7 linked regions of the Nothobranchius furzeri genome follow. The protein of the gene in region 1 binds, or shares a complex with, the protein of each later gene. Links are inferred from orthologs where the notes say so. Each region holds a gene or a part of one and is shown in the gene's direction. Other genes may lie near its edges.

Evidence for each region.
Region 2: snrpd2 (region 1) and gemin2 share a complex: the UniProt entries of both Homo sapiens proteins name them as parts of the SMN-Sm complex. The link is inferred for Nothobranchius furzeri from reciprocal best matches to the Homo sapiens genes SNRPD2 and GEMIN2.
Region 3: snrpd2 (region 1) and lsm6 share a complex: the UniProt entries of both Homo sapiens proteins name them as parts of the U4/U6-U5 tri-snRNP complex. The link is inferred for Nothobranchius furzeri from reciprocal best matches to the Homo sapiens genes SNRPD2 and LSM6.
Region 4: snrpd2 (region 1) and bud13 share a complex: the UniProt entries of both Homo sapiens proteins name them as parts of the minor spliceosome. The link is inferred for Nothobranchius furzeri from reciprocal best matches to the Homo sapiens genes SNRPD2 and BUD13.
Region 5: snrpd2 (region 1) and gemin4 share a complex: the UniProt entries of both Homo sapiens proteins name them as parts of the SMN-Sm complex. The link is inferred for Nothobranchius furzeri from reciprocal best matches to the Homo sapiens genes SNRPD2 and GEMIN4.
Region 6: snrpd2 (region 1) and sart1 share a complex: the UniProt entries of both Homo sapiens proteins name them as parts of the U4/U6-U5 tri-snRNP complex. The link is inferred for Nothobranchius furzeri from reciprocal best matches to the Homo sapiens genes SNRPD2 and SART1.
Region 7: snrpd2 (region 1) and snrnp200 share a complex: the UniProt entries of both Homo sapiens proteins name them as parts of the U4/U6-U5 tri-snRNP complex. The link is inferred for Nothobranchius furzeri from reciprocal best matches to the Homo sapiens genes SNRPD2 and SNRNP200.

The regions. Positions count from the first base shown.
Region 1 is NC_091753.1:27,245,641-27,249,873, forward strand, and holds the start of snrpd2 (small nuclear ribonucleoprotein Sm D2), read left to right. Parts: upstream 1-1,433; 5' UTR 1,434-1,569; coding exon 1,570-1,571; intron 1,572-2,541; coding exon 2,542-2,721; intron 2,722-4,233. UniProt on the Homo sapiens protein: Plays a role in pre-mRNA splicing as a core component of the spliceosomal U1, U2, U4 and U5 small nuclear ribonucleoproteins (snRNPs), the building blocks of the spliceosome.
Region 2 is NC_091758.1:40,480,325-40,484,373, reverse strand, and holds the start of gemin2 (gem-associated protein 2), read left to right. Parts: upstream 1-1,249; 5' UTR 1,250-1,370; coding exon 1,371-1,492; intron 1,493-1,569; coding exon 1,570-1,651; intron 1,652-1,749; coding exon 1,750-1,839; intron 1,840-1,945; coding exon 1,946-2,032; intron 2,033-2,190; coding exon 2,191-2,307; intron 2,308-2,549; coding exon 2,550-2,594; intron 2,595-2,665; coding exon 2,666-2,734; intron 2,735-4,049. UniProt on the Homo sapiens protein: The SMN complex catalyzes the assembly of small nuclear ribonucleoproteins (snRNPs), the building blocks of the spliceosome, and thereby plays an important role in the splicing of cellular pre-mRNAs.
Region 3 is NC_091744.1:10,586,904-10,591,127, reverse strand, and holds the start of lsm6 (U6 snRNA-associated Sm-like protein LSm6), read left to right. Parts: upstream 1-1,424; 5' UTR 1,425-1,513; exon of another isoform or gene 1,514-1,554; intron 1,555-1,574; exon of another isoform or gene 1,575-1,679; intron 1,680-1,924; 5' UTR 1,925-1,936; coding exon 1,937-2,030; intron 2,031-2,843; coding exon 2,844-2,957; intron 2,958-3,321; exon of another isoform or gene 3,322-3,436; intron 3,437-4,224. UniProt on the Homo sapiens protein: Plays a role in pre-mRNA splicing as component of the U4/U6-U5 tri-snRNP complex that is involved in spliceosome assembly, and as component of the precatalytic spliceosome (spliceosome B complex).
Region 4 is NC_091750.1:44,763,527-44,767,749, reverse strand, and holds the end of bud13 (BUD13 homolog), read left to right. Parts: intron 1-1,468; coding exon 1,469-1,770; intron 1,771-1,840; coding exon 1,841-1,949; intron 1,950-2,106; coding exon 2,107-2,245; intron 2,246-2,835; coding exon 2,836-3,017; intron 3,018-3,173; coding exon 3,174-3,255; intron 3,256-3,364; coding exon 3,365-3,458; 3' UTR 3,459-3,723; downstream 3,724-4,223. UniProt on the Homo sapiens protein: Involved in pre-mRNA splicing as component of the activated spliceosome. As a component of the minor spliceosome, involved in the splicing of U12-type introns in pre-mRNAs.
Region 5 is NC_091753.1:62,516,060-62,520,158, forward strand, and holds the start of gemin4 (gem-associated protein 4), read left to right. Parts: upstream 1-1,299; 5' UTR 1,300-1,395; coding exon 1,396-1,405; intron 1,406-1,738; coding exon 1,739-3,703; intron 3,704-3,792; coding exon 3,793-3,949; intron 3,950-4,022; coding exon 4,023-4,099. Other genes in the region: dhrs13b.2 (tapasin-related protein), read right to left, coding at 1-78, 173-448, 523-699, 804-849. UniProt on the Homo sapiens protein: The SMN complex catalyzes the assembly of small nuclear ribonucleoproteins (snRNPs), the building blocks of the spliceosome, and thereby plays an important role in the splicing of cellular pre-mRNAs.
Region 6 is NC_091744.1:19,554,741-19,558,702, forward strand, and holds the start of sart1 (U4/U6.U5 tri-snRNP-associated protein 1), read left to right. Parts: upstream 1-1,162; 5' UTR 1,163-1,491; coding exon 1,492-3,804; 3' UTR 3,805-3,962. UniProt on the Homo sapiens protein: Plays a role in mRNA splicing as a component of the U4/U6-U5 tri-snRNP, one of the building blocks of the spliceosome. May also bind to DNA.
Region 7 is NC_091757.1:37,097,870-37,101,369, forward strand, and holds part of snrnp200 (U5 small nuclear ribonucleoprotein 200 kDa helicase), read left to right. Parts: coding exon 1-80; intron 81-166; coding exon 167-322; intron 323-408; coding exon 409-579; intron 580-658; coding exon 659-852; intron 853-956; coding exon 957-1,080; intron 1,081-1,178; coding exon 1,179-1,328; intron 1,329-1,402; coding exon 1,403-1,645; intron 1,646-1,721; coding exon 1,722-1,910; intron 1,911-1,991; coding exon 1,992-2,189; intron 2,190-3,500. UniProt on the Homo sapiens protein: Catalyzes the ATP-dependent unwinding of U4/U6 RNA duplices, an essential step in the assembly of a catalytically active spliceosome. Plays a role in pre-mRNA splicing as a core component of precatalytic, catalytic and postcatalytic spliceosomal complexes.

The DNA.
Region 1 (4,233 bases):
CCAGTTGATGTAAATTGCTGATAATGACAGATTGTGTTTGCACCAGAGGTTTTTTTTTTAGCTGGAAGACTTAACATTCAACATCCTAGAGACTTTGTTTTTCTATAAACAAAATATTCTGTCATTTTAAATAAATAAACATTTAGATTTGTGCATTTAAATGTTAATAGTTTGATTGATAGACTTGTATCTTGTACTTACTCATCTGATTTAATGCTTGTTGCTCTCTTAATTGGGCCACTGTAGTGTGTTCAGATTAGAGAATGCAGCTCCATCCCATGTAAGGTAACGCTGAGCTCATTTTAGTCTGCATCTCAAGATGCAAGAGTCTAGGGTGAGTGTGCTTGGTAAAGGTATAGAACCGTGCAGTCTGGAAACCAATCCCACTCATTCACCTCTCCCAGCAACACACAGCCTGCCATTATCTACAGCAAGTGATTTCCACAGGTAGATCTGTAACCTTTGGAACAAGGTGGGTGGGTTGAGCACCCATAGGCGTCTGTCTGTCTCTTGCCAGAAAGCCAATCTCTTAGTGTCTCGTTGCTGCCACATATACCCGTTTCTCTCCTTTACACACACACACACACACACACACACACACACACACACACACACACACACACACACACACACACACACACACACACCTTTGCTGTGTTAAACAGCGAAACAAAGGCTTACCTGTTTGGGCTGCAGACTACGGAGAGGTCTGCTTCCTCAGTCTTATTTATTTCCTCTTTACTTTGTGAGGAGAGAGTTTTTGATATAGGGCTGCATGGTACAAATGGTACTGCTTCCCCACAACAAGAAGGTTGCAAGGTTGCCTTTCTTCAAAGTGCATTCTGGCCATGCATACACTGGTTTTCACTGGATACAACAAGAACATTTAGGTTCCATTGTGTCTCTAAATATAAATACATATTTGTTTGTCCCTGTTTGTCTCCATGTGGCCCTGTGCTAGACTGGTGACCCATCCAAGGACTCACCTCTTGACTGATGAGTGCTAGAGTTGGGCATCAGCTTCATGACGTATGAAGAATAAGCAATGACGAAAAAAGAGGGGCTTACCTTTTACACGCTTGTTCTATGCACTGGTTGTGTTGGAACTGTATTGAAGAACTACTATAGATGATGATGATGATGATAGATAGATAGATAGATAGATAGATAGATAGATAGATAGATAGATAGATAGATAGATAGATAGATAGATAGATAGATAGATAGATAGATAGATAGATAGATAGATAGATAGATAGATAGATAGATAGATAGATAGATAGATAGATAGATAGATAGATAGATAGATAGATAGATAGAATTTAGGAAAAAAGTAACTAAGAAAATAATAGTTTCAAGATTTTTACATTTATGGATGATTTTTTTTCCATTACACTTACCGAGCAGAATCTCCGTAACCCGGAAGTTATAGCGAACTGTTTAGAGCGCGTTGAGAATGACCCGGAAGTGTTTTCGTCCACGAGAAGAAGGCAGAAGCGTTGCTCATAAGAATTAGACGGTGGAAACGAGAGAAAAACAGCTTTAAACAGTTTTTATAAACCACCAATCATGTAAGTGTCGTTGATGATGAGATAGCCATTTCGGAAAGTGTCATTTTTTGAGATAGAGTATCAGCTACGAGTCGCAGCGTCTTTTCTCGAATGCTAACATGTTTAGCCTTTTCACTGATGAATGCTAGTTAGCTCACGTTGTGTTGCTTTCTAAACGTGCTATCGCTTTTCATATTTTACTCACCATTAACCTAATATGTACAGGGTAATTACTGCAATAAAATATATGTAGTAGTTACGTTGGTGATCGTTAATGATGCTACGATTGTTTAAATTTTATGTTTGCCAATTGCGAAATATTAGCAGCACGATTAAGGAGACCGGTGTTGAGTCAAATTGTGTTCCCCGTAGATAACAGTTTGACCAACTTTCTAAAATGTGCGTTTGGAGAATGAAATTGTCAGGATATTAGCCTAGTAACGAAGTCGGCTTTATGTTTTTGAAGCATATGAGCTTATTTTAATTCAGAACATCATTGTTAGCGACGTTCTGTCTCAAGGATGTTCCACATGTTTTTTTTAATCAATCTTCTAAGAAATCCATTGCTTGATACAAAAGAGTAAAGGAAGGTTATGAAGAAACTCAGAGAAACAGTTAATTGTTAATGCAAAACTTGTCATTCTAATCTCTTCAATTTTTTTTAACTTCTGATTGCTAACCAGTAAATTAAACGTGTATGTCTGATATTGTTGAATATTTGGCTATTGCTAAAAGTAGCTTGGTGTAAATTTTTTAAAATAAGTTATTAGTTTTGTTAAATGCCTATGGGAACTTCCCCACTCTTCTACTGAGAGATTTAAATTTTAATCTCGGTTAAAGTCAGGTTTCTTGAATTGCATTTAGTTAGGGTGCCTTGTTTTCATTTATTATCTTGTAATCATGTAAGTTTTAAAAGCAAACCGCTAAAAGGACTTGTGACCGTTATCTGTGCAGAAGCAAATGATCTAGTATCGTGTCTGCTTTTGTGTAGGAGTCTGTTGACGAAGCCCAAATCAGAGATGACACCAGAAGAACTCCAGAAGCGGGAGGAGGAGGAGTTCAACACCGGCCCCCTGTCGGTGCTCACCCAGTCAGTGAAAAACAACACTCAAGTCCTCATCAACTGCCGCAACAATAAGAAGCTGCTTGGAAGAGTTAAAGCTTTTGACAGGTATTGAAAGAATTTTCATCTAAAAAAAAACATTCAGAGTTCTGCATCTATGCGAGAAAATTTTACATTTAGCTTTTTATGTTTATTTATTTGCAGACGCTTTTATCCATAGCGACGTACAATTTTTTACTTGTAGGGCATGTTGTGATCTGTAGGGGAAACCGGAGTACCTGGAGGAAACCCATGCATGCATGGGGAGAACACTCAACTCCACGCAGAAAGGCCACAGCCGAGTTTCGAACCTGCAACCTTCTTGCTGCGAGGCAACAGTGCTAACAACTGCGCCACCATGCATTTATGCATTTGGATGGCAGAGTCAAAAAACTTAAAATCACATTTAGGTATGGCTGCCACAAAAGACAATTTTAATAGTAGACTAATCACCAGTTTTGTTGACGATTAGTCAACTAATCATGTCATCATGCATAAAAGTATAGCTTATTGCACCAGGGTGCCCTAATATACCCGATGATAGCTTATCAAACAGCTTTTAGTTAACTTTGTAACCCAGGGGTGCCGGAATCCTGGTCCTGCATGTTTTAGTTTGAACTCCGCTTCAACACACCTGATTTCAATCAGCAGCTAATTAACTGGCTTCTGCAGAGCCTGATGAGCTGCTGCACAGGTGTTTCAACCACTGAATCATGTCTGTTGGAGCAGAAAAAACACAAAACCTGCTGGATACCTGCCCTCCAGGACCAGGATTGGGCACCCCTGTAGTAACCTGTTAATACAAATGCTAAACAGTCAAATGGAGGTAGGCACCTAAAACTAGGGCTGTAGCGAAGCCTCGACGAAGTCGACGGCTCGATTCTAAAAATTTGTCGACGTCAGATCCGGAAGTTGACGCACCGCGCCCACTTGTTGCATCCCCAGGAGTTTGTAAATAGAGGAGGAATCTGCCTGTTTTTCCTCTAGTTTGCCCTCTTCTCCGCCTTCACTAACATCTCCGCCAAATACCGAAGACCCGGAACAATGTCCGTCCACTACTAGATTATTTTCCTGTTTTTCCCCTTCGTCTCCCGGCAACGGACAACAACTTCCGGGGTCAGATGCGCTGCTTCATGTCTATCGCAGATGTAGAAAATCACCGGGAGCGCTTCTCCCTTCATAAAGGAGCTTCTTTCAGACATGAGGAGAGCTGTTTTGGTGGTAGCAGTCTCTCCTCCCTGCTGGTCTGTTTGCTGCCGGGTGTTTTTGGTTTATTTAAACTTGGTAACTTGAACTTTTGGTAAAGCTACTGTTAGCATCTTCGCTAACAGCTTCTTGCATTGGGATAAGCTGTTACGTTTTGGTTTAGAGTTCATCTTTTTTGTGGTGTAGATCTCCCTTTTATTACATTTAGAGTGTTGTGGGTTTTCGGTTTAGTGTAAAATATTACCTGAGTTTGGTTTAACCCGTAAGACCACTCGCCTCACGCACATAAGTGACCAAAACAAAGCAGCATGGAGACACTCCATCTTCTACCACCTCTCAGGCAGCAGCCTGCACTCCCAAGTTCTACACGTCACC
Region 2 (4,049 bases), on another chromosome or scaffold:
TAGCAGCGTTACAGGTAGAGACGGGTGAGATGCCAATAGCAATCAGACGAGAACGAATAGCTTTAAATTATTGGGCAAATCTTCAGGGTCAGGAAGAAGATCATCCAACACGAGACATACCAAAACCTTGCTGGGAGAAAGAAAAGAAGGAAACAACAAGTTTTGGATGGGTGATGATCAAAAAACCAGTAGAACTTAAATGAGATCGGTTTACAATCAGTCAAAGAGTTCCATTACCTGCTGTTCCGCCATGGATTCTTCCTGAGGCGTCTGTTGATTTATCATTATTAGAGAGAAAGAATATGGATAAGTCTTTCATACTAAACTCACATACAGCACAGGATTATATCGATCACTATTATAACTATGTAAAAATTTATACAGATTCTCGCAATCCTGTTAGCAGTTCGATGGGTGGAAGAAAACAGACCATTATTCTCAGTTATTTGTTCAGACTCCAGCTCATCATTAACCAGTTTAACGTGCAGCCATTCAGGAAGCAGACCAGACATACTCCTAGAGATTCAGCAAACACTTTATAGAATAAACACGATGGGACTTAAAGTACATTTTTTATGGATTCCAGCTCGTTGTGGAATCAGTGGAAATGAAGGAGTCGATAAGATGGCTAAGGAAGCTACAATAAATACTTCGGTTCAGTTAGATGTTCGATTTTGTCAGAAAGAGATGAAGAGCATAAAAAGGCGAGAAATGAAGAAAAAATGGCAAAAACAATGGGAGGAGGAAAGGAGGGGAAGATGGTTGTATAAAATTCAAAGAAGAGTAGGAGAAATAAGAAACACTGGAAGGAGTAGGAGAGAGGCGGTGATCATTTCTAGACTGAGGTTTGGACATACTGGGTTAAACAATACGTTATTCATGATGGGGAAACATAATACAGGGAAATGCGATTATTGTGGAGAAGAAGAAACTATAGTTCATGTTATATTACAATGTCGGAAGTATCAGGCAGGAAGAAGGACATTGATTCAAAATCTTAGACAGATCAAAGTGAAACTAGACCGACAGAATTCAAAAAGCGACTGTTTTCTGATTTTATTTCAGTTTTTAAAAGAGATAAGGATGTTTGGGAGAATTTGATGTATATATGTATTTGTATATATATGTGTATGTATGTGTGTGTATATATATGTATTTTTTTGTTCTTTCTTTCCCGTGTTTGATTTTGTTTTATGAGCGCTGTTCCAGACCACACTCCACACCAGTTGGTGGCGGTAATGCACCATTCGTTGTTCGCCAACCGCCAATAAAACACCAGAAGAAGAAGAAGATGGCGACTGTGCTGTAGTGAAACTTGCGTGTTTTTCATTACCTGATTCGGTTCCGCTGTTCTTTTACTTTATTAGAACATGAAGTCGGACGTGGAGGAGTTAATGCCGAGGCTCCTGCCGCTGGAGACCGGAGGCGGGAGCGGAAACCTGGACTTGAGTGGAACCCCCAGAAACCCCCAGGAGTACCTCCGACAGGTCCAGTATGTTCGAGCCGAACCGTCTCGAGAATCAGAACCATGTTCGACCACGGAGCTTTATAAGTTTGGTGTTTCATTAGGTTGGAGGCCTCTTTATGCCCGGAGGTGGTCGTTGCTCAGATCGATCCCACAAAACTGAAGAAGCAAACTGTTAATGTGTCGGTAAGTGACACACACACACACACACACACACACACACACACACACACACACACACACACACACACACACACCACATGTTTAACATGTTTTGGTTCCAGGTAGCAGGATGTCATGCTGCTCCTCAGGGCTTCTCCCCCAGCCTCAGGTGGCAACAGCAGCAAGTCAGTAACTTCTCTGACGTCAGACAGGTGAGACTTCACAGTAACACACGTTACGAACATGTCCACACAGTAACACACGTTACGAACATGTCCACACAGTAACACACGTTACGAACATGTCCACACTGGACAGTGTCCTTTAGTCACTTTTGTTTCTCAGAGCATCACCAAGAACAGGCAACACTGGAGGAGCCAAATTCTGGATGACAACGTGCAGATGGTGAGATTTTTATTCACTACTCAAACCGAAATCAGCATTCTTTCAAGGGGAGACAGAAATCCCATGTTAAGGTGGATTTGAAGCACCTGTAAGAATCTTGTCATGCAGCATCACACTGGAGGTTTGGTTTATGCAAGCTTGACGCTGGTGTCTTACAGCCGAGGCTGACCGATGAGGAGGGCTGGAAGAGGTTTTGTTTAGGGGAGAACGTTTATCAGGGAACTTCATCCGGCCCGACGGATGCACACCAAGAACCAGCATTGGACTACGGCAAGGTTATACAACTGTTTACACCTTATTGCCTTTGTGAGCGCTTACTCCTCAGAATGAGTTTACCTGATTTAAATCGATCAAAGCTGAGATGTTTCCACATTCTACTTCTCCCACAAAAGCAAACAATCTAAACAGATAAAGTGTATTTATTTAATCCTTTGATGATCCGCCACTCATGAAAATTCTGTGGCACCTTCATGAGACCAAGGAAGTGAAGTCTCACTGATGGTTTGTTTGGGTCTAGATTGGCTTCCCTCCCTTCCTGAGCATCGTAAGCAGACTAAACCAGGTAAACGGGGGTCTACGATGACATCCATGTTGTTTTTAGCCAGTTTAACAGTCTTAATATTTTTGTCTCAGTCCACAGTTCTCATGTTGTTAGATGTTCTGATCAGCTGGTTTGAAGAGCGAGAGTTTGTTCCACAGCTGGTGAGTTTGCTTCTCGTCTCCAGCTGGTTGACAACAAATCTAATGCTAGTGGAAATATAGTTTTTTAAATTTTCGCACGAAAATAAATTGTTAGAACTCCAGGGCCCTCATTCATCAAACAAACTTATGCACAGATCTGCACGTAGGAACAGTTTTACACACTGCATACATGTAGCGACATGAATGGCCATATTTGTGACCCAAAGGTCACACTTCCCCAGCTAGGTCACGCTGTCCTGGCTGAACTTCTGTCCACAGATTATCCATCACAGGAGACGCACAGTCTTCTAGAACCATCTTTAATCTGACTGCCTTTAATCTGTCTGCTGTTCCATCCTAAGATGAAGGACACTTCAAGATTTAAAATAATCATTTTTAATAAACTCTTTTCACTGTTTATTACAAGGTTCATAAATAATCATCACGGTTCATTATAAATGTATTTAATTACTGAAATGAATTATTATTCTTTGGTTAATAATTATTATTTATGATAATCAGTAATGTTTACCAGTGTAAAGAAGGTCATGTACACTTATACACACCATGCAGGACACTGAATTCAGGGTAAAGGTAACCACCTCACATGTCTTTGCTCCATAACCAAAGCTTTCTATCTCTGAGAGGGCGTGTTCTGAGTTTTAATAAAACCCAAAACTCCTCAGTTCAAGCTGACAGTTCTGAACCAACCAAAACCTCTCCGTGGCACGAGAGTCCCAGAGGACAAGGGTCGGCCGCCCGAAGCCTCCACTAAGCTGTTCTGTCACGCTGATAGAATCGCTCCGAATAAACGCCACCTGCACCAGCTGACACAAAACTCCTTCAGAGTTAAGACGCAAACTCAACACCTGTGTGCCAGCGGCAACTCTTGGACCAGAGAGTCGGTACCACTCGCGCCTTCCCTACCGGACCGAGTACCCAGAGGCTGACAACATCCTTCCTTGACCTCCGGATCCACACAGAGGGTCGCCTGATGGGTGAGGTAGAACACAGATTGCGTCTGATGCTGTCATCTCTAAGAAACAACTTAGTTAGCTGCAAAACAAACTCTTTCACCCAGAACGCGTTTCTCTCTGAAAGAAACCTTCTGAGATTCCAGTCACACATCCAACACACGCATTTCATTTTAGCTTTCATCCAGACACAGGTTTGCTTTTAATACCAAGTTTTAATATCAAAGCTGTTATAAATTGTCATCTTTAAATTGTTCGTTATAAATTCTTAACTTTTTAAACCTGACTCTTCTTTGAAATGAAACACAGAATGGTGTAAATTTGGTTATTGAACGAGCAAAGATTCCTTTAAATATTCCGAT
Region 3 (4,224 bases), on another chromosome or scaffold:
CTCTCTCAACCTTTCTGTCTCCACTAACACGTACTGGCACATCCTCACGCCCTCTATGCTCTTCTGTTTTTCTCCCCACTATTTCATCCTTGTTTGCCCCCATACACCATTTCTCATGTACCTCCCAAGCTGTGCAGTGTTTGGGTCGTGCTCCCAGCATCCAAGGTTTATATATATATATATATATATATATATATGTGTGTGTGTGTGTGTCTATAATATTTTTTACAAACCCGAAGTTGGTTACTCGTTAGAATAATTAAAAGAATTATTTGTTTTCATACACTTTATTCATAGACTTCTTCACAACTACAAAAAAGTTTTCCATTGGTTCAATAGTTTTTGTGATGTTAACAAATGTTTGTTATAATAAGAAAATATTTCACCAGGCACATGTTTATGTTTATGTTTATGTATTTAGCAGACGCTTTTGTCCAAAGCGACTTACAAGTGATGTGTTTATAAGAATGAAAAGATGTCTTTTTTAAGTGCACATCATAGACTGTACATACTGTGCACATTTTCCCATTTCCCCAAGATTCACTGATTTCCCTCTTTCCTGTTCACTCTCTCTCTCTCTCTCTCTCTCTCTCTCTCTCTCTCTCTCTCTCTCTCTCTCTCTCTCTCTCTCTCTCTCTCTCTCTCTCTCTGTCTCCCCCTCTCCCTCCCTCTCTCTCTCTCTCTCTCTCTCTCTGTCTCCCCCTCTCCCTCTCCCTCTCTCTCTCTCTGTCTCCCTCTCTCTCTCTCTCTCTCTCTCTCTTTCTTTCTCTCTCTCTCTTTGCCTTTTTAATCACAATTGTCTATTTTTGCTTATTTTGAACATATTTTAAATCATTTTTTGAAACCTTTTTTATATTTTATATTTTTGTGAAGTGCCTTGAGATTTTTGTCTTGAGAGGAGCTACAGAAAAGATTGTTTTCTTTCTTTCTTTCTTTCTTTCTTTCTTTCTTTCTTTCTTTCTTTCTTTCTTTCTTTCTTTCTTTCTTTTAAACGTTTGAACACTTACAGATCAAGAAGAAAGAAAATGTACCTGAAATTGGAATAGGCTTATTTGTGCATATCCCACATTACATTGAGATAAATTTTGAATTTGTAAAAAGAATAGTAAAATAATACAATGAGACATTCACATGAAATATTATGTTTTTACATATTTACAGTAGTTTCTCATTTTCTGTATGAATTTGTTACATAATAGAAATATTACTAATGCTTCAGTTTATTCAAAGTATAACAATGCACAACAAAACAAAAAAACTTTAGTATATTATAATATGAAAGCCAGTGGATATAATATTAATTACAACATATTAGAAATACATTTATAGAAAATAACTTGTTAAAGGAAATGGGTATATCGTATTTTTAAAATGTACTTTTAAATATTCTTGTTTTGTCTATCGAATTAAAACTTTGCGCTTTCAGGACATTTGTCCCTACATAGTTTCCGTAGTCCTCCAATGTGATTGGTCAATGCGCCGAACATAAAATCGTTGTGAGATCGTTCATCCAGTGAGTAACTTGCTAGCTCGGTGTTCGCATCTGTAAAACTAGTAAAACATCTATTTCCTATCTTATTAGGATCTGTTATGATGTAACAATACCTGTACATTGTACTTTATTGTTAAACAATCTCCTACGCTATTAGAGGCTAACGAACTGACCCACGGAATAGCTGGTAGTTAGCACTTAGCTCGCTAGCTACATAGAAGCTCATTTGATAATTTGAACGTTTTAACCGTACATAGTTTTGCATTTAGGCGTGTACTATCTGGCTACAGCTATTCGTTTTAATATTCTCGGGTTTGAATAATGCCTTTGTTACTAGATAATCAATTATAGCTTAAATGTGTATTAGGGTAATGCTAATGCGGTTCTTTATTGTGATAAAATGAGATTTACTCATCTGTTTTATTCTTTTAGATAAAAGCGAAAATGAGTTTGAGAAAGCAGACCCCGAGTGACTTTCTGAAGCAGATAATTGGGAGACCTGTCGTGGTCAAACTGAACTCTGGTGTTGATTACAGAGGTAATGCAGCTGGCATCAGGTGTGGGAATGTTTAGGGTTCTCAGAGTTTGATTAGGTTATGAATCAGAGGGTTTGTTAAGCAGTCATTGATGCATCTTTTTACGCCTTCTGCCTCATGTTTAGTTCTAGACAATGACCCCCTGACAACTACTTTTAATTTTTAATGATCTTTTAATTCATTACAGTTAAGTTCTTTATACAGGCAGACAGGAAGTTGAATGATGTAATCCCATATAGGATTAGAAACTATGAAACAAACACTAACTGAAAAACAGTTAAATTACTGCAGTTAAACTCCAGTTAAATGCTGAGTAATTGGAATAAACTTGAAAAGTTTCGTGAGGACCAAATTTTGCTTTAATCTTCAACAAACTATTTGTGTTTGTGTTGATATTAATTCATTTACCAAGCTAAAGAGAGATTCACACAGGTTACACAGATACATGGAGGAGGAACACTTTTTGACACAACACTCCTACTCAGACATCTTTGTTACAGTTTAAAATGTTCAGTTTTTCAGTATTTGATGTATTTATTTCTTCAGTCAAGACTCAAACTCCATCCCAGTTGCACACCATAATGTGCCACACTTCTGCACTTCAGATGTCTGCCTTTTACACTCACCTAAATAATGATCATTATTAAAATCTGTTTTGATAATTTTTGAATGAATTTGTAATGGTTTATGTTTGCATCAAAATGCATAAAAAACAGTATGCCCCTCTTCCCTAGCTGGCACGTTCAGGTCTGTTGTTGTTTTATTGCCCAGGTAAGTTTATTTTTAATCTGAAGTTTGTGTTTGTCTCTGAGCAGGTGTTTTGGCCTGTCTGGATGGTTACATGAACATCGCAATAGAGCAGACGGAGGAGTATGTCAATGGACAACTCAAAAACAAGTATGGAGATGCCTTTTTGAGAGGAAATAATGGTAAGATTTGATGTTTTCACGCTGCAGGGCGTTATACAACACCGTTTTCCTCTGTTACTATAGCTCCAAGTCATATTTAATGATTAAACATTCCAGGTTATGAAGGCTGTACATTTGCCATGATCTGAGTCTTTGGTGCAGTCAACTTCCTAGCCTCATTCTTATTAGCTCACAGAGACAACATTATTACACTGTGTGCTCTAATAGATCTTTCAGTTGTTTAGGTTTTTTTTTTCAATCCAAAGTGATTAGAGATTTAAATTTGTTGACAATTTTTAAATGAAACTTTCAAAGTCATGCACCACAAGATGTTTATTTTCATTTTCTCATTAAGCATTTTTGCACCTCAAACCTATCTTTATAGGAAAACCACAAGATATTCCCTTTTAAAGTTGGGAAACTAACCATGTCGGAGTTATACAGGAAGCTCACTTCCGATGAAAACATCGAGCCCCTTTGTTGCTGCTTTGAAAAAACTGGTAAAATGCTACTATTTTACAGCATCGTTTGTTAATTAATTCATTATGTTACATTAGAAATGTACTGATTTAGCTTCTGATGGCAGAAACTGATTTGTGTTGCCTCAAAGTGATACTAATTTTGGGTGATTTTTAAATATAATATGCTGTTTGAATTTAAATATTAAATAGAATATTTTGGAAGTGTAAACTTCTACATTAATAGGGTTAATAAGTAGGGTTAGGGAATATTTTGATACCTGTGTGATTTTTGTGGTGCCTCTCTAGACTGAGCAGATACAGCTGCGACTGACTACTAGGGATGCACCGATGGATCGGCATTTGATCCCAACTGGCCGATAGCGCCCCTATCGGTTTTGATCGGAGTTTTCAAAATGGATCAAAGCAGACCGATCAGGTAGGGTTGTCACGGTAACCGGTGTAGCAGTAAACCCCGGTAAAATAAAAAAAAGTTGACAATAATAATAACCGTCCGTTTTTAAAAAAACTATATTATCTCGGTGGTTTACCGTGGCTGCGGTGTAGGCGCGGTGACCCTTACCAGCCACCGTATCATCTGTTGAAGTTGCCAGCGGCACATGCGCACTTTGTTGTTTACAACCAAAACTTTCTTGAAGCTAAAGCTGAAATAATGGCCAAAGGAGGAAACGGCAGCGCGCAGGACATTTATTATACCTCAAAGAAAACAAAGTGGGAAGTACGGGCATTTTTTGAATATTTGAAGAATGCCGAGGGACAGTTTATAGAAGACGGCTATCCTGTTTGCAGCACGTGCAGAAAAAGTGTCT
Region 4 (4,223 bases), on another chromosome or scaffold:
GGGCTCAGCCTTAGAGATAGGGTGAGGAGCTCGGACATTCGGGAGGGACTCGGAGTAGAACCGCTGCTCCTCCGGATCGAAAGGAGCCAGTTGAGGTGGTTTGGGCATCTGGTCAGGATGCCTCCTGGACGCCTCCCTGGGGAGGTGTTTCGGGCATGTCCTGCCGGCAGAAGGCCCCCGGGTCGACCCAGGACACGTTGGAGAAGTTACATCTCCAATCTGGTCCGGGAACGCCTTGGGGTCCTGCCGGAGGAGCTGGTGGACAAGGCCGGGGAGAGGACGGCCTGGAGCTCCCTAGTTGGGATGCTGCCCCCGCGACCCGGACCCGGATAAGCGGAGGAAGACGAGACGAGACGAGGCATTATATTTTACTGCACATATTTATGTGTTATTGTGACTAAGATGAGTGTTATTAATATTTTAAGATATTTAACTATAAATATCAAATGGGAAAAAGGAACTAAACACCAATCTAATGCATATTATTGAGCCTTTCATAATAAGAGTATGTTATTTCAGCCTGATCATTTTGTTTTATTTCATATTTTTTAGCAGCAAACCAGTTTAGTTTCACTTGAAACGTTGTCAAATGGAATATTCAATTAGTCAACAGAAGCTTAGATTAGAACACTTAACGACAAAATATTTAGCCTTTAAAACAGTGAGGCAGTTGAATGCACAGAGTACGCATGTGCTGGCGCACGTTCAGGATGGTACCACCTCTGCCTCAGTTTGAGCCAGGAAAAACCCTGATGTGCATCCTGCATTCAAAAACAGAGGCAGCCTTAATTACAAGTTTTTTTTTTTTCAGTCTACTGGGTATTGGTTTCAATGATGCTCTATCAATAAGCATCAACAAAGTGCAGATCACCAGCTACAACTGTTAAAGAGCCTCAAACCACCAGAGGTTCTTCAAGCGCTTTGGGCTTCCTGACAGGGTTGCGGAAGGTGCTTTATAAATAAAGCTTTGATTGATTGATTGATTGATTGATTGAAGACATGGAATACCCACCCCCTTATTGTGTACAGCTCTAGTTTGGCTCTTCAGTCCAGTTGATTGTTGATGGTGTCACCCAGCTACTTCTAGACCTCAACCACCTCCTCTACCACCATCCTCATTGGTTATGTAGCTGTCTTCTTCTCCCAGAACATCAGTACCATCTCATGGACAAGGACAGCATCCTCCTCAGCCTGGCCCCCATCAGCTGTGGAAGAATTTAGGCTTTCTGTTGTTTAACCTAAATATTTTAAAACCGACGGGTGATAACAGTTTAGGTTTCTGAAGAATCTCCCCAAAAATATCCAACCTTCTGAGAATGGACATCTGGTAAATGGAACGCAGTTCATTCTAAACAAATTAATATCGTGGTAGTCCATTGAACTGTGTTCAATGAGTGTGTTTAACATCATCATTTTCCTGACTAATACCCTATTTTTGTTAAACATATCTGTGTTTTCTATTTTCCAGATTCATCTCCCACTAGAAGAAAGCCCAGCTCTTCGATACCAAGTAAACCATGCCCAGATCATCGTTCTTCACCGCAAGCTGATAGGAGTCAGAAGAGGCACGATTCAGACTCTGATCAGTCACCTCCACGAAAAAAGCCCCAGAAGAAAAAGCCTTCCGATTCAGACCAGTCTCCTCCGAGAAGACGCTCAAAATTCAGCCAGTCTCCTGACTCTGACCAGTCTCCACCCAGGAGGAGGCCACGGACTGGAAAGGACTCGGATGGAGATTTGTCACCACCTCGTAGAGCTGGAGCTTCACAAGTGAGGCAGGAGTGCTTTTCAAAAGTTCTCACAAAATGGCTGCAGGTTTTAAAAAAAGATGTTTTAACAGGGTCCGAGGATGCTTTCTGGTGGAAAAGCAGGTCTTGTTTCTATTGAGGTTTTGAGGGAAGAAAAGGAGGAAAACCGGCGCAGAGACAGAAGCAACCAGCCGCTAGAAGGTAGCATTTACACCCCCAAACTGGAGGACTTGTAAAGTGTTTTTTCATCAGCGTCACACATTTTTCAAGACAAACTATATTTTTTATGTCATAATGAAACAAGTCAATACTCAAATTATGTGTTTGTATTTCTTTCTTGTGGCTCTGATTGGACTAGATCAGTCCCGCGGTGCCCAGACTGTGTTTCGAGACAAGAGAGGTAAAAGGAGAGATTTGGATTTGGAAAGAGAAGATCAGAAGAAAAAAGCTGAAGAGAAAGCAGTAAAGGATGAGAAATATGCTCAGTGGGGAAAAGGGTGAGTGCAGCACTGAAAAGACACTAATGGGTGAATCGTTTCACTATTTAAAGCTGCAACAGCAAATCGACGAACAAGCTAGCTTTTAAACAGTCACAGAACTCTCACCCCTCCTGTAGGCTATCATCCACCGGATACCAGAACTCGCACTGCCGAACCAAACCAGATAGCGCTTAACACCAGTCGCCATTTTCTAAACGTCTTTTGTTGTCCATGACTTCAAATGGTGTTTTTCCTTTTGGGACTCTGGTAGTTTGTTCTAAAGTTGAAGCAGCTGTTTCTCCTTCTCTGATGTTACTGAGTGGAGAACCTCTCACACCGGTGGTGTCCTGTTGCTAAACACGTGAGTGTGTGATGAATAGAGGACCCAGGGAAGTGCGGCGGTTCGGTGCGATCAACAACCAGATGGTCCAGTTGTTGGTTTGCGACCGAGCCGTGTTATTGGCTGAGGACAAATCCATTAGCTTTAATCTCCACAAAATACACCTGTACTAAGTTAGAACGTTGTTAAGAGGCATGAAAAATGTTTTGAGACGGCTTGCTTTGCAGATTTGACATTTTAGCGTTAAAGTGTGTGTACGTGTGTGTAGGTTGGCTCAGAGCCAGATGGAGCAGCAGAAACTTGAGGATGCGGTGCTCGAAGCCCAAAAGCCTCTGGCGCGTCACTATGACGATGAGGACCTGGACCGCATGTTGAGAGAGCAAGAAAGAGAAGGGGATCCTATGTTGGCGATGCTGAGACGTAAGAAGGACCGCAAAGAAAAGACAAAAGGTTTTTACTCTTCCTTTACTTTATAAGTCTTCATTTAAGCTTTAACTGAAAATGTACTTCAGGGTTAGCAACCTCTCAGCAAAGCCTTGCTAACACGACTTTGACTCTTTTTCTATAAATTGTAACAATACTTGTGTTTCTTATCTGAATTTCCAGTGAAACCTAGGTATAATGGCCCCCCACCACCGCCGAACCGCTTCAACATTCTGCCAGGCTATCGCTGGGATGGAGTCGACAGGTATCTGCAAAGAAAAACCTCAACAGGGGACACACAAGCATCAAATCCAGGGGAGTTTAAGCTACAATAGCAGATTTTGATGGCATTTTTTTACATGGATGTTTTGCAGGTCGAATGGTTTTGAGTTAAAACGCTACACGCGGATGGCAGACAGGAAAGCCGTCCAGGAGGCAGCATATAAATGGAGTGTGGAGGACATGTAAAGGAAACGGAGACGAACGCATCAGCAGTACACCGTTTATAGTCAACAGACTTGTTCTTGTTGTTAAAACACATCGAGACACATGCACTCAACAGAAGGTATATTTTGTAATGGACCAATGGCGTTTTGGTTCTTTTTCCAGATCAGTTTGATGCTGTATTGCAGTCATGGTGTGACAACGTCTTTATCTCTTTGTTATAACTGAAGCAACGTGGCACGAGAACTGATGTAGGTTGTAATCTTTTAATAAATGATGTTTTTGTAAAGCTTCTGTGTCACAAGTATTTTATAAACAAGCCCTGATGCTTTTCATTAGGAGGATCTACTACCCTCATGTTTTATTCACTAGAACAAAGGATTTGTTCTGAACAATTCAAAGTCCTAAAATTGTTTTTTCACAAATCAAACTTTTCATTTTAATGTACTGGACCTTCTAAAAATCACAGAGTCCTAAATACCTCAACCCCAGACTGCAGGTCTCGTTTTACGGTCATGTAGAGAGGAACTGCAGGTTCACCATTTAACTTCGGCTAATGTATTTATTTTTAAATTTGAGGTTTTGTGTTGGGGAAAAAAATAATGTTTTGTGACTTAATATTTTGATAATTAAACGATTAGAAATGAATCTCCACCCCCACCCCCACCCCCTGCAAAAAGCCTTTTAGTGTTGGGCTCATTATTAAAACTAAAGAGAAATAAACACACCTGGAAATAAGATTGTTTTATTCTAATAATTAGTAGTATTTCATGTTTTCATGTTGAAGCC
Region 5 (4,099 bases), about 35 Mb from region 1:
TAAACTGGCAGTGGAGCTTTTGTTCAGATCTCAGGCTGGTTTTCACCAGTGGTGTTTCTGTTTTCATTACCATGGCAACTGTGAGACCAGATGGACAAAGACAGAACACAGAGAAACACCATCAAAGAACCAGAACTGGAGCTGTTGGCATTATGGAGTGAAACTAACTGACCTGATGTAGTGAGCATCTGTCCATCAGTGATGGGAACCCAGCTGAGGTAGTCCTGCTTTCCTGGTGGAGGCTGGTCAGACGGGTGTCTGAGGAAGCCGAGCACAGTGAAAAGGCCCTGGTTGTGTTTGAGAGAGACGGAGAACCAGTGGTTGTACTCCCTGGCCTTCTGACTGGGCCAGTGGACATAGATGCCCTGTGTGCTGTATCTACGCAGCTCACACTCCAGCTGTTCTGCCTCCACTCCCTCCACATAGTGCCGCATGTCCACCTTGGACCCTGCAGCAGAACACAGAAGAGTAAGGTGCAACCGTTGTCAGGTGTGTAATGGTGACCTGTGTCAGGTGGCTTACCTGTGACCTGAAAAGTGATGGTGCGTAGATCTACAGGAGCTTCTCCTGTCTGACCAAACTGCAGCACAGCATTTCTGGGGATCCGCTGGGTCTCTCTATGTCCTTCATTGTTCATAATCACCTGTTCATCTGTGAAGTGACAGGGCAGCCATAGTATCTGCTGGCTACAGTAGACCCCTGGAGACAGACCAACAACTCAAAGCAGCTGATCCGAGTGGGCTTCCTCCAAAAACACAAACTGTCCCCACACTCGCAGGGATACAAGCCTTCTGAAGACTTACCTGTCCAGATAAAACCGTAAATAAGAATCCTGCAGGGTGGAACCATGGTTATTCATCAGATCTACTGATCCTTGTTCCTGCTTCATTCAGCTGCACATTTATTCTCAGAACACTTTCGCTTTCATTTACAACGAAAAAAAACCTGCTTTGCATGCAGCTGCATCACGTGACGAGCAGAGACAGTTTCACAAGGAGAAATACTGCAAAACACTTTTAAATGTCACTAAAAGCGAGTAACGTTTAAACCATCACACGTAGGGCTGAACCGGTGTTCCGGTCTGGCGGCAGCACTGGTGAACGCGGTGTCTAGTCAACAACGCAAAACCTCGCAACAGTAAAAACAAACCAGTCAACAATCCAACAGAAAAGGCGAGGAAAACAACAACAACAACAACAATAACAACAAGGTGAAGCAGGTTTGGCGGTTTGCTGGGTTAATGCGGCTGCAGTACCGTATCTATCCAGGGGTGGCGCTGTGGGGACGCCTCGCCACCTGACAGCAGCCCGGCTTCCTGCTGGAAACCGGAAGCGCCTTTCCTGGTAACGAACTGGTTCACGAGGCGGGCGGGTGTATGTTCCTGCCTCCGCAGCCATGGACAAAGGTAATTATTAATGTTAGACATGTCTCGTGAACTTGCGCGAGCTTCGTCTCCAGTCGGTAGAGACGAACATGGCGCTAAACGCTCAGGCTGAAGCAGCAAGCTGCAGGTTTGAAGAGCCCTCTCCTAGCCAGTCGTTCGTTCTGGACCTGCTTCACCTGCAGCCTGCCCCCCCTTCACACACACACACACACACACACACACACACACACACACACACACACACACGCACACACACACACACACACACACACACACACACACACACACACACACCTGGATAACGCTGATCTCGGCCCAGCTCGGGTCTCAGCCTGTTGCTTGCCTGTTTTTCAGATTCCGCCGTGCTCCAGGGAGCTTTCCTCCAGGCAGACAAACTGTGCCTCCCCTCATCCCTGTCCCTGATGCAGAAGGCGGACTGGAGTCGTGTGAAGCTCCCGATCCTGCAGGCCCTCAGAGACACCTGTGGGCTGAGCGCTCTGGCCTGGCAGAAGAAGGTTGTTTGTGTGGTGTGGTTGAAGCTGATGAGCAGTGAGGCTGAGGAAGATGTGGAGAAGGGGTGGAGGGACAACCCTTTCTTCTGCCTCCAGAACGGCCTCCCTGACGTAAGCCGGGCTGTTCTGCTGGAGCTGGTGAAGTCACTCTCAGCTGCGCCGGTCTTTGCCCGCTTGCTCCTGCGTCTGCCTCAGCAGCAGATCTGCACCGAGCTGCAAACGCTGGCAGAGCATCTGAGGACGGATCCCAGTCCTGAAGACGTCTGCTTTCTGTTGGAGGTGTGGTGGGAGCTGTGGAAAGGCAGAGACAAATGTCAGACGCAGGAAGACAAAGACTTAGAGATGATGTTTGTCAGCCAGTTTGCACGCCTGTCCTCCGATTGTCCCAGTGTCTCGCCTCAGGCTGCAAAACGCTTAAAGCTGGACCTTCCTGCATCGTCAGCAAACACAGACGTTCTGCACGTTCTCCTCCATGCTCTTAAGAACATGAAAGATCAAGTATCTACTACAGATTTGTGCCTGCAGTCCCTGTTAGTCTGCCTCGACGCTCTTTACACATCCTTCCTAACAGACCCAGAGGTTGTGCTTCCAGTTGAAGAGAAGTTGCTCATCCTCTGTAGGCTTGTTGACACCAGAGGACAGACGCAGGCGTGGAGCCCCAAACTCCTTCAGGAGGCTCTGAGAGACCTGCGTGCTGCTCACTCACCAGCTCCTTTTCAGCCCAGCAGGATGACGCTGAGCCAAGCTTTGAAGATCGTAGCAGAACTCACAGAATTCTGGCTGGAACAGGATCTCCTGAGCGCTCCTGGCTGCTCCGCGTTCCTGCTGCAGCAGAGCGTCCAGAGAGTCCTGGCAGCTCTAGAAGAAACGGGAACATCTGAGCATGTGACTGAGAAGAGCACACTCAGAGGTCTGCTGAGTTCACTGTCTCTTCCTGCCGTAGAGACCCCCCCTCAGGTGCAGGCTCAGGTCGCTGCCACCGTCATCAGTCACCGCCTGGAGGACTGTGAGGAGTTTGCTGCGCTGTTTGCCAGCCAGTTGTCCTGGACTCATGAAGAGCTGTGGGTGGACTGCCTGGAGAAGAACCACACGGCCTTCACGCAGCCCAACACCCTCATCAGCCTCTCCTCCACCCTCGTGAGTCGCCTGCAGCGTGGGAACGTGAACACCACCTGGTGCAGGAGAGCCATTAAAACGGCTGCAGATGTCTTCTCTGCTCTTTCGTTAGAAAACCAGAACAAGGTCCTCGCTGCAGTACCGAGCCGCTCCAGCAGGGGCTTCTTTGGCTGCTCTGTCCCCTCGGCTGTGGCAGACGGCTTTGAGCAAGAGCTGAACATGGCCTTTAACTGCCTTATCCAGGGAGGGGGCGGGGCCTCAGCAGCAGTGTCCCAGGGCCGCCTGACCACAGCAGCCTCTCTGGTAGCTCGAGTGGCCTTTCAGAGCCCAGAGGCGGCTTTAAGGTCCTGCTGCCACGCCGCCGTTTTCAACAGGGGAGCCTTCAGCCTCATGGCAAAGATCCTGCAGCAGCTGCCTGGACTCCGCGGACGGAGGGGAGGGGAGGATGAGGCAAACGGAAACGATGTGGAGCAGCAGGAAGCTGGAGGGCGTGGTAGTCTGTTCTGTAGGTGTTTACAGACGGCGGTCAGAGGCAAGCCACTGTCCGCCTGTGAAAAGGAGCAGCTCCTCAAGTTCCTGTCTCTGCTCATGGCGCCGGGCCCGACGCTCCAGGGAGAGCAAGAGACACAGAGGTTCTTGTCTCCACAGGAGGTGGTCAACACACTGGTCCTGCCTCGCCTCTCAGCTGCAGGTCGGGGTCCATGCTGGCTTTAATCTCATCTGTGTGTGATCTGTAAACGCTCGTCACATTCTGCTGCTGTCCCATCTGTGTTTCTGCAGCTGAAGAGTCCTGCGATGCAGAACTGAGTCTGCAGCTCCTCCACGCTGCTTTGGCTGTGGGTGTCCAGGAAGTAGCCCCCTCCCCTCACTGGGTGTTGGACTGCTCTCCCTTCCCCCTCCTCTATATTCTGGCCCAGCAGTACAACCAGACTCTCATGTGTGTATGATCCCGTGTGTGTGTGTGTGTGCAGCGGTTGTTGTTGGGCTTCTACTCATCTGATCTCTGTTAGGTGCTGGGAGCGGTCGTCGGAGGACAGCGACCACCTGAGCTCCATGGACACCAAGGAGCTGCTGGAGTCGGTGCTGA
Region 6 (3,962 bases), on another chromosome or scaffold:
TATTGAGAAACTCGCAACAAATGCAATTACAAATATTTTGAAAGATAATTAAAATATCTATTAAGAACTTGATGAAATAGCATTTGATTCAAACTTTATTTATTGAAATACAGCAAGGCAACAGCACTACCACTGTGCCAACATGCAGCCAAAGCATAACAGATTCAAGTAAAATTTAAAATGTAGTATGTATAAAAATGAGTGAAATTAACATGTGAACTGATATGATATCCATAATGTTACACCTACTCCTACCCTAGGATCCACCCATCCCTTCCTCTATTCCACTGCATCTCTTTGTGCACTTCCATCTATGTTGCACTCTGATTCATTTCTACACTATTTTCGCATACTCCTCTGTCGGAGCCTAGTGTTCTTTCCTCTAATCAGTTTATCGTTAGAATCAGATGCAAGTACTGTTACATCCTTGTTTATAGATCGTTTTGGACAAAAGCATCTGCCAAATACATTAGCACAATGCCCTTTTTGATATCTGGAGCTCAATACAGATAAATGCAAAAGCTGAAGTAGAAAAATGTAATTTGAAAAAATCCTTAATGCTGTTGTTGGTAGACAGAAACCATTGCTAGACATCTGACTTTTTCTCTTTGTCTGAGAAGAATTAATTTTGATGTATATCTGAAAGTGATAAACATCCCAGCCATTAAATGTTCAAATGACCGTTTGGAATCAAAAGCATTTTTAAATACTCTAAACCTGGGGGTTTCCAATTGAAATATCAATTACAGTATTAAAATGTGTTTTTACTGATCAGAATGCACTTCTAGATATTATTTCAGTTACGATAAGTAAGAAATACATTTTGATAATGGGAATTATTATAACTTTATCTAAAATTTTAAGTGAATGGAAATGTTTTGCTTCATTAAATGCTATCACGGCTTGCTAAATACAGCAGGTTGCAGGCTGCAACCTTTGCTAAGCTAACAAGCTAAAGTAAAGGAACTGCGCCAAAATAGAGGAGATAGTAAATCGCTGTGTTGCACTTCGTGTACTTTTTGTAAAGTATCAAACAATTTTCCTAAAACATTTAAAAGCGTTTGTTTGTCAGTTAATGTCCGGTTGTTAAAGCCCCAGCCAGCAGGGGGCGATATACAACCAGGGCGAGCAAAGTTTTTTCTACCACTTGACTTCCGGAAACGAATTCGTTGTCGTTGTATGTTCGTTTCGTCGAAGTAGCAAACTTAAAACGTGGTTGTTAGTATTTATGCTGGTGCGAGGTGCTACAAATAAACAAACCAACGAAACTCCACGTATTTTCCACCGATGCTGGATATCGAAAATATGATGCAGTTTTCCCCGAAATGAGTGAGTTTTGACGTGGCTAACCCTTTAGCTTTTGAAGCTAACTCGACCTAGTTGGGAGAAAAGTTCGCGACATTTACCACATCAATACAGCTGAAGAGACTGCGTACGCAGCTTGACTGTGACGGAACTACGACTCTGGAGTTGTAAACAGCGGACGAAATCATGGGTTCTTCAAAGAAACACAAGGAAAAGAGTCGCGATAAGGACGCAGAAGAGCGCCGTCGTGAACATAAGAAGCATCGGCACAAAGAACGAGAGAGAGACAGAGATGCCTCAGATCGGGATGGAACTCGAGAAAAACGAAAACGCTCCAGGTCCAGGGAAAGGAGCAGACGGGATAGTCGCAGCAAAGGGGAAAAAAGCAGTGGCGAGACTCGTATAAAGAGGGAGAAATTGGATCCTGGCTATGAGGAAGGCAGTGCAGAAATACAGCCTCAGAGTGCAAGTGGAGATGCTTCCCTCAGCGTCGAGGAAACGAACAAACTCCGAGCCAAGCTGGGTTTAAAGCCTCTGGAACTCAATGAGAACAAGAAAGAACTTGGAACCAAAGAGGAGCCACTGGTGGCTGAGACCATCAACCCTGTTCTCATCCAGCAGCAGAAAGAGATGAGGGAGAAGCTTGCAGCTATGAAAGAAAAACGTCTCCTCAATCAGAAACTGGGCAAAGTCAAAAACCTTGCAGATGATGATTGGCTCGATGACACAGCCGCTTGGATTGAAAGAAGCAGAAAGCTGGCACAAGAGAAAGAAATGGCAGAGAAAAGAGCCAAACTTCTGGAAGAGATGGATGAGGAGTTTGGTGTCAGCAATCTGGTTGAAGAGGAGTTTGCTCAAAGTAAATTGGATTCTTATTCTTCACGGGATCTCAAAGGCCTCAAAGTGCAGCACAAGGTTGATTCCTTCAAGGAGGGCCACACTGTCATTCTGACCCTGCAAGACAAAGGTGTCCTGGAAGAAGAGGAGGATGTGCTTGTGAACGTGGGACTGGTGGACAAGGAAAAAGCAGAAAAGAATGTGGAGTTGAAAAAGAAAAAGCCTGACTACAAGCCCTACGAAGAAGAGGAGAGTGTGGATGACATGGTCACCTTTAAGCCCCGCACTGTACTTTCAAAATACGATGAAGAAATTGAAGGTGAAAAGAAAAAGAGCTTTCGTTTGAGCACATGGGGATTTGCTGATGGGGAGCGAGAACGGGAGCTGCAGGCTATGAAAGAAACGCTGCAAAACCAGGCCCAGTCTTTGGAAATGCCTGCTCTTGCTATCGCTTCGGAGTATTACACGCCTCAGGAAATGGTTGGCTTTAAAAAGACAAAACGCCGTGTGAAGAAAATCAGGAAGAAGGAGAAGCAGACAATTGCAGATGAGCTCCTTGATGACACTCGCAGCTCTGACTTTGGCTCCCGAGCACGAGGTCGGGGCCGCAAACAGGACAACGAAGAGGAGAATACAGGCAAGGGCGAGCGTTGGCCACATGAAATCCCCCAAATGTCTGATGACATCAGGACGGCAGAAATGGAAATGAGTGATGAAGAAAACTTCACGCCTCCTGAGCCAGCTGTAATTGAGGAGGATGAGGCAGAGCAGGAGCTGCAGAAACAACTGGAGAAACAGAGGAAGCTGAGGCAGAAGCAGCTTCTCAAAGACTCCGGGGAGAAGGTGGCAGAGCAGATCAGACGGTTTGTTAAAGGCGGTGACGAAAATGATCCTGACAAGAGGAATAACATTGTCTTCAATGCCACCTCTGAGTTCTGCAGAACTCTGGGTGATATTCCAACGTATGGACTGTCTGGAAACAGGGAAGACCAGGAGGATATCATGGACTTTGAACAGGAAGAAGAGAAAGATGATGCTGGAGATTCAGACTCCGAAATGGATGAAAATATTGGGTGGAGCACAGTTAACCTGGATGAGGAGCAAAATCATGCTGAATTTTCCACAGCCTCTGCCACTATCCTGGATGAGGAACCCATCGTGAACTCTGGCCTTGCTGCTGCTTTACTGCTGTGCAAAAATAAAGGGCTGCTGGACACGCAAATGCAAAAGGTGGCTCGTGTCAAAGCAACAAAGGGGTCCCTGCCTAATGACAACTACTGCATCGAGGACAAGATGGGCTTTGATGATAAGTACAGTCGCCGGGAAGAATACAGAGGCTTCACGCAGGATTTCAAGGAAAAGGATGGATATAAACCCGACGTCAAAATTGAGTATGTGGATGAGTCTGGGCGCAGACTCACCCCAAAAGAGGCATTCAGGCAGCTTTCGCATCGTTTCCACGGCAAAGGTTCTGGAAAGATGAAAACTGAAAGGAGGATGAAAAAGCTGGAGGAGGAAGCGCTGCTGAAGAAGATGAGCAGCAGCGATACACCTCTGGGGACGGTGGCTTTGCTTCAAGAGAAACAGAAATCTCAGAAAACGCCGTACATCGTCCTCAGTGGCAGTGGGAAGAGCATGAATGCAAACACCATCACTAAATAAATATGTAGGGGAAAATGATTATTGTTGTAGCTCTTTTGAGATTATTGCTAGTTTATGGTCTTGCTTCAGTGTTGATATAACAATAGTATAAGAAAATCAGTACAGGTGTAAACTATTTCATTTGTCTTGTGAATTTCCTAAAAGAACAATAATTTAAA
Region 7 (3,500 bases), on another chromosome or scaffold:
AAACTCTAAACCGCATTCAGAGCAAACTGTTTAAGACCACCATGGAGACGGATGAAAACCTGCTAGTGTGTGCGCCCACGGTACGAAGGCCTTGGTAAAGTTCAAATATTGTGTGATTTGTTGTTTTTATGTGTTTTCTTTAACTGGGGGTTTGTTCTGCTCACAGGGAGCTGGTAAGACAAACGTTGCCCTCATGGCGATGCTAAGAGAAATTGGAAAGCACATCAACATGGATGGAACGATCAACGTGGATGACTTTAAAATCATCTACATCGCGCCAATGCGCTCACTTGTACAGGAAATGGTGGGAAGTTTTAGTAAGGTGAGTCTTGAGTCACTATTTTAGACCTTTTTCCCGTTGTTTGTGGGACAGGTTTACATTTAACGTGTTTCCTTTTTTAATCTCAGAGATTAGCAAGTTATGGCATCATTGTGTCCGAGCTGACCGGAGACCACCAGCTCTGCAAAGAGGAGATCAACGCCACTCAGATCATTGTTTGCACCCCTGAGAAATGGGACATCATCACTCGGAAAGGAGGAGAGCGTACCTACACCCAGCTTGTGCGCCTCATTATCATTGTATGTTTTGATCTGAGCCAAATGTTCAAAATGAATTTAGGCTAAAGGTTTCTGGTTAAGCTAAGCGGGTGTTTCTCAGGATGAAATCCACCTGCTGCACGATGATCGCGGGCCGGTGCTGGAATCTCTGGTGGCGAGGACCATTCGTAATGTGGAGCTGACTCAGGAGGACGTACGTCTGATTGGTCTGAGTGCCACGCTGCCCAACTACGAAGACGTGGCTACCTGCCTGCGTGTCAACCCTGCAAAGGGACTCTTCTACTTTGACAACAGGTACATTATTTGAAGAGTAATGTAAATTTTAGAGATAAACTCGGTCCCTCTTTTTGTTATTTGTATTTCCATCTATGGTTATTGTTGTTTCTTTTTCTCTGTAGTTTCCGCCCTGTGCCGCTGGAGCAGACATATGTCGGAATAACAGAAAAGAAGGCCATCAAGCGATTTCAGATCATGAATGAGATCGTCTACGAAAAGATAATGGAACATGCTGGAAAGAACCAGGTGAGTTCTGTCTGACCTCTGACCCCCAGTTTATTATCATCTTATTTCTTGTTTATTTACTCTGTCAACTTTAACATCTTCATTTCCCCCCTCCATAGGTTCTGGTATTTGTCCACTCCAGGAAAGAGACGGGAAAGACGGCCAGGGCCATAAGGGACATGTGTTTGGAGAAGGACACTCTGGGTCTTTTCCTCAGAGAGGGTTCAGCATCCACTGAAGTGTTGAGAACAGAGGCAGAGCAATGCAAAGTAAGGAAATGAGAACTTAAAGACCTTTCTGGTGTGAGGCGTTGGACTTGAGTGATGGAATCTTTTTCTTCTAGAACCTGGAGCTCAAGGATCTGCTTCCGTACGGGTTTGCGATCCACCACGCTGGCATGACCCGAGTCGACCGTACGCTGGTGGAGGATTTATTTGCAGACAAACACATTCAGGTTCTGGTATCGACAGCCACCCTGGCCTGGGGTGTCAACCTGCCTGCACATACTGTTATCATCAAAGGAACCCAGGTTTACAGCCCAGAGAAAGGCCGGTGGACTGAACTGGGAGCCCTGGACATTTTACAGGTCGGTTGGTTTCTACTGTCTGCAGTCATATGTAGCTCTTCTGACAGCGGTGACGGAAAGAAATGTTTGATTTCAGATGCTGGGTCGAGCTGGCCGTCCTCAGTATGACACCAAAGGAGAGGGAATCCTGATCACCTCCCATGGAGAGCTGCAGTACTATCTGTCCCTCCTGAACCAGCAGCTGCCCATAGAGAGTCAGATGGTGGGCAAACTGGCTGACATGCTCAACGCAGAGATAGTGCTGGGAAATGTTCAGAATGTCAAGGTTAGTGACTGAAACCTACACAAGAATGAAATTAATATTTTACTTTCATGATAATTAAAGTTTTTTTCTATTTAACTGCAGGATGCTGTGAACTGGCTGGGTTACACCTATCTGTACGTGCGCATGCTGCGCAACCCCACCTTGTATGGTGTTTCCCATGACGACCGGAGTTCCGACCCGCTGCTGGAGAGGCGTAGGACGGACCTGGTGCACACCGCCGCCAACATCCTGGACAAGAACAGCCTCATCAAGTATGACAAAAGGACAGGAAGCTTCCAGGTGAGCAAATTACTGTCCAGATCTAACCGGCTGAACAGACCTTCATACAGATGGATGCTTGTAACTTTGTCTCTGCAGTGACAAAAACCTCTGACCTTGGCCCCAGTAGCTACAAATAAACAAATAAATAAAATGATTACACTTAAAAATAAAAACAGTTCACCTGCTATCTCACTACTTTCTCCTGGTCTTTGTGGAATGCCAGTACCTGCTTATGGATAGTCATCGCATGTCTGAGGTGGGATTGCTGCAGAGGTCCTGGGCCTGTGTCTCTGACAGACGAATCCTTGTGGCTGTTTCGTGTTCTGGAGGCTGAATCCACACTCAGCTGCATCACTAAAGACGTCGATTACAAACGCCACTTCAGTTAAAGTTTCATAAACTGAGATCAGAAGTCCGCAAGACTCTGAACCAGGAGTTTCCTGATCCCACAAGCACTTGCTTTAGTGGGAGGAAATCTTGCAGCGAAGTATCAGTAGTTCACCTGCACCAGTGTGTGATCTGTTGTCACCACAGAGCCTATTTTCCATAACTCTCCAATGTGCTGTCAGCCACTAAATATACAAATGTTGCCAAAGCCGTCTTCACTAAACAATGCCATTTATTTTCCACAACTCCGTTTCAGCATCAGGGAGCCTTGGGTCATTTATAAGTGGTCAGGTCATGGTGGTAATGTGGCGCAATCGCGTCCTTTTTATAAAAGATTAGGCGATGTCGGCAGGAGGTATGGGGCGGTGTCTGTGCTGCCACGGGCTTCCGTTTATCTTGGACATAACTAGCTTTTTATTGCAATGGAAGCTGCGATCATTAAGTTTTTTTAACAAGCCGCTCCTAAAGGTGTGTGTCCCCCAGTCCTGTGCAGCCTCCGGTGATCTGACCTCCGGCTCTAATGGAGAGAAGCTCCTGGAGTGCTGCATCGCTTCAGTTTAACATCTCAGCTGATTCTGTTTACAAAAGAAAAACTTACGTCCCGTGTTCACTTTCATTTTCAAAATATTTGTCGGCCAGAGCTCGGCAGTAACTCACCATGTCATCATGACACCTCCCTCTGTTGCACCAAGGTGCAATCGCTGTTCAGAAGTCAGACAATTACCGCAATATTACTACCAAGCGAGGCAGAAGGAATGCTGCAAAATTTGCACATCGCCATGCCGGCGTGGCGCGTTTATAAGACACACCGTTGGTATTATGCAGATTTGTCTTTTAAAAAGAGCTAAAGATTTTCTGATGGATTTCTCTTTTATTACGTCACTTCTCCGTGTCAGCGTTTGTGAGTGACACCACTGAACTCGCCATCTTTTTTTCTCCACC